Arabidopsis thaliana: one gene and its partner. The protein of the gene in region 2 interacts with the protein of the main gene of each other region in a pairwise test. Each region holds a gene or a part of one and is shown on either strand. Other genes may lie near its edges.

Region 1 (4,209 bases), on a different chromosome or scaffold from region 2:
GGCCTAACCAGTAAGAGGATTGGCTTTACAGGTTTATGTGACAATGTACCTCAATGACTGCCAAAGAACTAATTTCTACGAGGGTATCGGGTTAAACACAAAGGAGTTCGATATGCATGTCATCATCGAGGTAAAGGAACTTGAAACAAGAAGATTAATATTAACCTGTGTTATGTTCCTTTTTCTGAAAATGTTGAGATTTGTTTCAGACAAACCGAACCACGGCAAGAATATTCCCTGCGGTGCTGGATGTTGAGAACCCTGAGTTCAAGAGGAAACTGGATAGAATGGTTGTGAGCTATGAGAAGCTGCTGGCTATAGGAGAAACAGATGATGCTTCCTTCATCAAGACCCTCAAGAGGATTCCTTTGGTTACTTCTTTAGCCTCTGAGATCTTGGCTGCTTATCTCATGCCTCCTGTTGAGTCTGGCTCTGTTGATTTCGCCGAGTTTGAGCCTAATCTTGTCTATTAGTAGCTGCAATGTCAAGTCTTGAGTTTACGGCTGGTTCTTGATTTCTTGTAATTGAATGATCGAAACTGAGAAACATCGTCTTTTTTTTTTTGCAATAAACTTTTACTGCATATATTTGATCATATTGCGCATTGGACTTACTTAAATTTCAGATTTTATTGAACTGGTTGATACAGTTGAGTTTGCAACATAAAAAAAAAACACATTACAAAATCTACGAAAATATCCCTGGAAACAATCCTACCCTCTGTGTCTTGTGTAAAGGAGATTTATCCAGAGAGGATTAAATATGAAAGCTGAGCTCATTCCTCATTCCTCACTCAGATTTGGCCTTAGGTTTCTCTTGTTCTTCGGTGAGAGGCTTAAACACAACTTTGAAGAACCAAACTGCAAGCAACGTAGCCTTCACAGGTCCAAGCCAATACACAAGTAAATGCTCTTTCGTTATATGTTCACCGCGTGCATAAGCCCATCCCATAACCTGCAAAGATTCACACAAAAGCAAACATTCAAAACAAAGATCGCTATTTGCTGAAATCACAATCACAAGACTTTTTTTTGGTACATACAGCTGCAGGGTTCATGCATCCACCGGTAAGATCAGAGCCAAGAATATGAAGAGTTAACTTAGCAAGACTACCGATCCAAGTCTTCATGAAGAAACTTCCCGGGATTTTTCTTGTTAGTCCCATTGAGAGCAGTACAATGAAGAATGTTAGTATCCCTTCTGTTAAAGCACCGTGGTGAATTGCTACATTTAGTTTAGGTCCTTTCCCAATCTCAGGGAATACGTGAATGATATGCTTAACCGCAAGAATTGATCCTATTACCTGAAATAACACAAAACCAGAGTTTCACAATAGTATCATCTTTGATTACACATTAGAGCAAAAGATCTTCAAGATGAAGTCTTTATAAAACAATAGAGCATATAACCAAAATGATCTGGTTTTCAAAGAAGAACCCATCAGCTAAATTCTCCTTTTTTTTCTCTAATTTGACATTTTACAACATTACACAAACCCTGAGACCTCTCTCTAACGAAGAGTCAATTTCAATTAAACCAAAAAAAGTCAACGAAACAAACCTCGACGGGGATTCGAACGAAGACGGAGAAGATGAAACTGCTGAAGCCACCGGAGACTCCAGCAGCCAAAGCGGTCAAAGGATTATAAAGCCCGCCTTTGGTGGCTTGTTGAAGGTAGGCGAAGATGAACATGGAGATGATAGAGAAGAGATAACGAACGATCTCACCGGAAGGATCGGTCCGGCTAAATCCAAGAACTCCATGGACTAAAATGTTGACCAGAACTCCTGCCCATATCCACATGAACGACAATACCAGATCAGTCACTACTAAACCGATTCGTCCCATTTTTCGATTCCAACGATGAGAACCAATTTCTCAGAAAGAAAGAAATTAAAAGTTAGCGTTTTTATGATCTGAATTTAGGATAATTGAGGACCGTTGAAGAGAATCGAGATTATATGATTGGCTCTAAGCGGCTGGTGAATTTAGCATATAATTGACGCTAGAGACATTGTTTGAGTCTGAGTCAGCTTCCGACAATAAAGGTTTTGGCTTTGGTGTGTCGTGATGAGATTATAGATTCTCTTCGATTTTGGAACGAGCTTCGGCTATTAACCAATAGACATCAACTAAAGTGATACGTTATTACTGGATAAAGTATTTACTTTACACAGTTAACTAATAATTACAAATAAATTACTACAATTAGCCTTCTTAAGAATTGTTTACAAAAAAGCCCTCCAATTTTAACCTGCGACGGAAGTTTCCCCTCAGGAAAAATATGACCTTTTGATCTTTACACGCTTGGCTTTGGGTTGTAACTTTTGTCTCTCTTCTATCGTTTATGGTGTTTGAAGCTTCAGCATTGGGAATGGATCTTTCCTTTTGAAAATAAGTTGTGAATATACGGAAAAATGTGACTTGTTAGTGGAGAAGCAATGCGTTTAAAGTGTTCGACAGAATGCCTCAGTGAGTTAGAGTTTCAGTTACCTCTGTTTTTGATTATAGCTCTTAGTGATCTCAGATTGGAGACGTTATCAGTCTTGGCTAAATTGATTAATTATTACTTTTTCCGATTTTTTTTGTTCTGAAGAAAATATGTTTGTTTATGAGAGGAAAGCTCGGAGATGCTAAGAATAGAGAAAAATGGGTCATGCTTGTTTCTCTAAATTTGAAGGCTTTCATTGGTTTGAGGAGATGAACGGTTTCTTCTTTGAACGACATAATTAGTTAAGATGAATTGACAAGAAAAGATGAAATGTCGGAGAGAATTTTTTTGATCCCTTAACTCTTTTGGCCATTGGTTTTTCTCTCTCTCTGATTCTTTGTTAGGTTTCCATGATTGTTCATATCAGCTTTCACTCCGAAAATGTTGCATTCTAAAAGACCAAAAAACATTCTTTTTTCTTGTGATTCAATGGCATAGAGACAGGAAGTCACAGAGTAAAGACCATTGCAGATTTCTTCATGCTGCGTTTGATTTAATGGTTTTAGGTTTACACTTTGTTTTTTCTTTTGCACAGAGTTCATGGTTTTCTCTTGTGTATGTGTACATTGATAGGATTGTTGTTTAGACAAGAACAAATATGTTTTCTGAGTTTATGTTCTAGGATATACATATAGGTATCTTAGAGAAAAGTTTTATTAGTTTAAGAAGATGAGCAAGGAACAAAGCTGTGTTCTAAAGGCTTGGGAGGTGACCGTAAGAAAGACCCAACAAGCGAAGAAGCGTGCAAACAGCATTTTTGGGACGGTATCTGTAGCTCCACAGACAGATGATGATGCTACTACTACGACTGAGGAGAATGATGATGAGACCAGCACTAACAGAAGCAGCATAGGGGAATTGTACCATGCAGAGAGAATACTTCCTAATGGAGACTATTATACAGGGCAATGGTATGATAGTTTTCCTCACGGGCATGGGAAGTATCTTTGGACAGATGGTTGCATGTACATTGGTGACTGGTACAACGGGAAGACTATGGGAAGAGGGAAGTTCGGGTGGCCTTCTGGTGCCACATATGAAGGCGAATTCAAAAGTGGATACATGGATGGTGTTGGCCTTTACACAGGTCCTAGTGGAGATACTTATAAAGGTCAGTGGGTGATGAACCTGAAACATGGACATGGAATCAAGCGTTTCGCGAATGGAGATGTGTATGATGGTGAATGGAGGAGGGGTTTGCAAGAAGCCCAAGGAAAGTATCAGTGGAGAGATGGGAGCTATTACATGGGGGAATGGAAGAACGCTACGATCTGTGGCAAAGGTACTTTTATTTGGACGGATGGGAATAGATACGACGGATTTTGGGATGACGGTTTTCCTAGAGGAAACGGTACTTTCAAATGGGCTGATGGGAGTTTCTACGTTGGTCATTGGTCTAATGATCCGGAAGAGATGAACGGTACTTATTATCCATCAGGAGACGACGGGAGTCCTGAATGGGATCCTAAAGACGTGTTTACTAATCTGAGTGAGTACAAGATCTGCAGCGGAGAGAGAGTTCCTGTGTTGCCTTCACAGAAAAAGCTATCTGTTTGGAACTCTTCCAAACGTGTCGAGAAACCGAGGAGGATGTCTGTTGACGGGAGGGTAAGTGTGGGTGTAGATAGAGCGTTTGAGAAGATGAATATGTGGGGAACCGAAAGCGGAGAAGGTGCTGCTGATATTGATTCCACCACGAGGAGGGACTTGGATGCTGA
Region 2 (3,893 bases):
CCCTTTTCTTCTCTTACCATAATTATGACGCACGTGAATGTGTGTGTAAATACTTTGACGTTTACATTGAAATACTGTAATGTAAGTTCAGAGTTAAAAGTACAAACACAAAGGTGAATTTTGTACTAATTAGTAAAGAGATAAGAGTGTTTTGAATCTTGAATATCAAATTATTATTAACAAGAAACTGACAAAAAGATGAGACAGTGTTCATTGAGAAGATCTCTGTTGTTTTATCTTTTTTTTTACATTTCTTGGAAATTGGCAAAACCAGTGTGATGAAACTGTGAAATCTTATCTCGAACCCAATCATTGTTCTATGTTTTTCTTTAATCTCTAAAAGTGAAAAAGTGAATGCATGAAACGTTCAGATACATTCATTATATTATACATTTATACATATGGACATGGTGTACGTATGTACACGGGTGCTTGTTTGATCACGGGCTCACTGACTATAAAAATCATGTTTTTTGGGACATATAGATTCGCTTACATCAACTGTGTGACCAATGGGGTATCTGAATTCAGCTTGTTCGATGTTTTGTTTGACTCTTTTAAACTATTTGGTAGTAAAAAGCCAAAAAGGAAGAGCACTGATTACGAAAGCCTTTTTGTCTTTTTGTTTCTTCTTCTCTAGCTCTCTTTCGTTCTCCTTTTGGGTTAGTCCTTCAAAATAAATGTCTTTAACTTGTCATGTATAGTTTCTTTCTCTCGTTGAACACCAACCATAGGCCTTGCAATGTGAGTCAAAACATGCATTGAAAAAAGAAGTGAATTTCAACATTAAATGCTCTCGTTTAACATGCCTATGGTTCCATTAAGCAAAGTACACACTCTATATATGTCGAAAGAACTATACAGTCGGTGTTTTAGCCCTATAGTTAGATACATTCGAACTGATTACAGAAATATCAAATATCCAGTTCTAAGATCGGATTAAGGCAAATACATTTAAACTACTTCTAGCGAATGAGGTTCACATAGAAAAACTTTTTAAAATGAATCACTAAACAAGATTCATTTTCTTTCTAAATAGTGTAAAGACGAGTGATGCATGCAACTGCTCTCCTTTCCGTTGGTCCCTTGTCAAAATATACGACCGTGAATAATTCTTCCCATCATATTTATCTGTCGGAGAGTTCCAACCTCAAAACATTCTCCTTCTCTTATCAATTCTTTCTAAAATCATAAACCAACAAACTGGGCCTATGATCAATTATTCATATTCAATTTAGCCTATAACTAAAACCACACTGCTTTCGTTACACTGGCCTTCCGACAAGTCTCTTTGACTGTTTTTATCTTAAGCGCCATCAAGTTTTAAAGAAGACAACCCCATATCTTTCCTCCCATGAATCATCGTGTCCATATTGCTATAGTTCATGAAAAAACTAAATACTATCGACAACTGAAGAAAAGATCCGGATCTTGTGGACCGAGTGAATGGTTGGGCCCAATTAGAATGGTCTACCCTAACATCTAGCCGTCTACACGATTGATCATACGTCTAAGAGGGCGAAACCACCAAACGTTTGGATTTTATCTAAATTGATGTACATAAAGCTAACATGATTTTAGTATAAACATTATAAGCATCATGGAAATCAATAAGCTAACATGATTTTAGTAGAAACATTATCAGCTAACATGAATTACTAAAAACATTTATTTTATTTTAAGGAAAAACATACAATACTAAGATTTTTTATAACATTTTTTCTTTGTAACATTATAAATTGTTTTAGTTTCTACATTAATTAAATATATAAAATAAATTCATTTAAATAATATAAGAAAACGGAATCTTTGATTAACTGCTGATTATTGGCCACTGATTAATTTCCGACCCCATCAATAGATGAGATCAGACATACACAACTTAAGTAGACCAAAAAAGCGGTTGGTGTAAGATCCCAAACTCACAGATTCCCAAATAATAGTAATACTCTTCCTCTTCTCAACTCTCACCAGTCACCAGCAGATCATCGGAGATGGGCGGAGACGGAAAAGTTTTCACCTTGTCCGAGGTTTCTCAGCACAGTAGCGCCAAGGATTGTTGGATCGTCATCGACGGCAAGGTCCTACATCTCCGATCCCAGTTTCTCATTCGATTTTCCGTTTTCCCTTAGATTTTGCATCTTATCTTCGTGAGATCCGAAATTCTTGAGTTGTGTTGACTTGGATTTATAAATCTAGAGTTATGTAGTAACAAGTTTGGGGATAGATCTGATCTGATTTGCTAGATTAATGTTACTTTTCTAAGTCTAAATCACAGAGAAATTGCTAAAAACTTACGTCTTTATAATTGAATGTGATAGTTGGTGCTGCTTAAGATGTCTCTGTGTGATCTTGTATCTGTAGTTAAAGCTAGTAAGGTTCATGTAGTTCATGTATGTTCTGATGTATGAACTTTTGATAACCCACTTAATCTAGGTCTCTGATTGTGTGGAATTAGGGACTTATATGACAAAGTTTACATTTTTTGTGTGTTTCATTTTGATGGTTATATATAGGTTTATGATGTGACAAAGTTCTTGGATGATCATCCTGGTGGTGATGAGGTTATCTTGACTTCTACAGGTAACATATAGAGATCACTTTCTCTGTTTGTTAGTTCATGTTTATGTTAACAAGAATGTGTTGTTGGTATTCAGGGAAAGATGCGACCGATGATTTCGAGGATGTGGGACATAGTTCGACTGCGAAAGCCATGCTAGATGAGTACTATGTGGGTGATATTGACACAGCTACTGTGCCGGTTAAAGCTAAGTTTGTGCCTCCTACGTCGACGAAAGCCGTGGCTACTCAGGATAAGAGCTCGGATTTTGTTATTAAGCTCCTTCAGTTCCTTGTTCCACTTCTAATCTTAGGCTTGGCTTTCGGCATTCGGTACTACACTAAGACCAAGGCTCCTTCTTCTTGAAAGATTGAATTGTGGCCTAAGTGAATTGCTTGTGTACGACGTGGTTAAACTCTGTCTCTACCTCTGTTTGTCTTGTAAGACATCATTATATTCTCTATTCCAATCAACTGATAGACCTTTGATTTTTAAGCCATCTACCTTTGTTGTCTTATATCAATCAAATCCATTTACAATATCACTCACACACCAGTCTCAAGTCTCACTTAAAAAGCAGCAACAGGTAAGAGAAAATGATAAACACTGAGCTAATCTGTGCTTGCGCAAGTTCTCTCCATCAGTACCTTTGAATCTGTTCTGAAAGACTGCTTTGATGGAGAGCTTGATCCTCTTGAAGAGCTATGCCCAAAGAAGCTAAGTTTCCCCATTTTCTTTGAGAAACTGCTCATGAATTTGCGCGAATGAGACCTCTGCATATCTCTCTTCATACATATATGTTCTTTCTCTAGGTCGTTGAGTCTCATTCTCAACCTAGCTAACTCGAGCTTCAGTTCTCGGTTTTCTCTCCTCAGAGACGCATAGTTGTCTTTGGGGGACATTGTTGCACTGAGAGCTCCGCTATTGATTCTCCATGACTGCTGTTGTTGCTGCTTTGGCTTTGGCTCTTCGTCTGAGTAAGAAGAGCACAAGGAGCTTCGAAGCTTGAGTTGCTCAAAGTAGAGAACTTGAACTATGGATTGCAGAGGAAGCCGCTCGTTTTGTGCAGCGTGTGCTCCAGCTTCTTGTGAGAGTTTCTGGAAGTCAATAAGTTTTGATAGTTTCTTCTTGTCTGAATCTGATAACCCTTGATGTGCCTAAGAGCATAAAACCTAATAAGTATCAAGTCACAACAAGAGTAAGTAAAATTTTCTTGTAGCAACATACCTTAAGATAGAGATCAATGGCGCGGTATAAACCATCGTGAAGGGTGCGAGCATGAGGCGGTAAGGCTTCTGCGATAAGCAAGAACTTAGAAAGGTCAAGGTTAGCA

The links.
Region 1: the proteins of CB5-D (region 2) and SIP2;1 interact in a two-hybrid assay, tested with the Arabidopsis thaliana proteins (one large-scale study listed by BioGRID).

What each region holds. Positions count from the first base shown.
Region 1 is NC_003074.8:21,077,797-21,082,005, forward strand, and holds SIP2;1 (small and basic intrinsic protein 2;1), read right to left. Parts: upstream 2,061-4,209; 5' UTR 1,849-2,060; coding exon 1,561-1,848; exon of another isoform or gene 1,379-1,560; intron 1,304-1,378; coding exon 1,043-1,303; intron 955-1,042; coding exon 794-954; coding exon of another isoform or gene 790-793; exon of another isoform or gene 688-789; coding exon 615-687; 3' UTR 501-614; downstream 1-500. Other genes in the region: CRD1 (dicarboxylate diiron protein, putative (Crd1)), read left to right, coding at 32-130, 210-473; PIP5K4 (phosphatidyl inositol monophosphate 5 kinase 4), read left to right, coding at 3,161-4,209. UniProt on the Arabidopsis thaliana protein: Water channel required to facilitate the transport of water across cell membrane. Inactive in yeast cells.
Region 2 is NC_003076.8:19,788,282-19,792,174, reverse strand, and holds CB5-D (cytochrome B5), read left to right. Parts: upstream 1-1,802; 5' UTR 1,803-1,994; coding exon 1,995-2,081; exon of another isoform or gene 2,082-2,516; coding exon 2,517-2,583; intron 2,584-2,657; coding exon 2,658-2,926; 3' UTR 2,927-3,108; downstream 3,109-3,893. Other genes in the region: AT5G48800 (Phototropic-responsive NPH3 family protein), read right to left, coding at 3,172-3,717, 3,788-3,893. UniProt on the Arabidopsis thaliana protein: Membrane bound hemoprotein which function as an electron carrier for several membrane bound oxygenases, including fatty acid desaturases.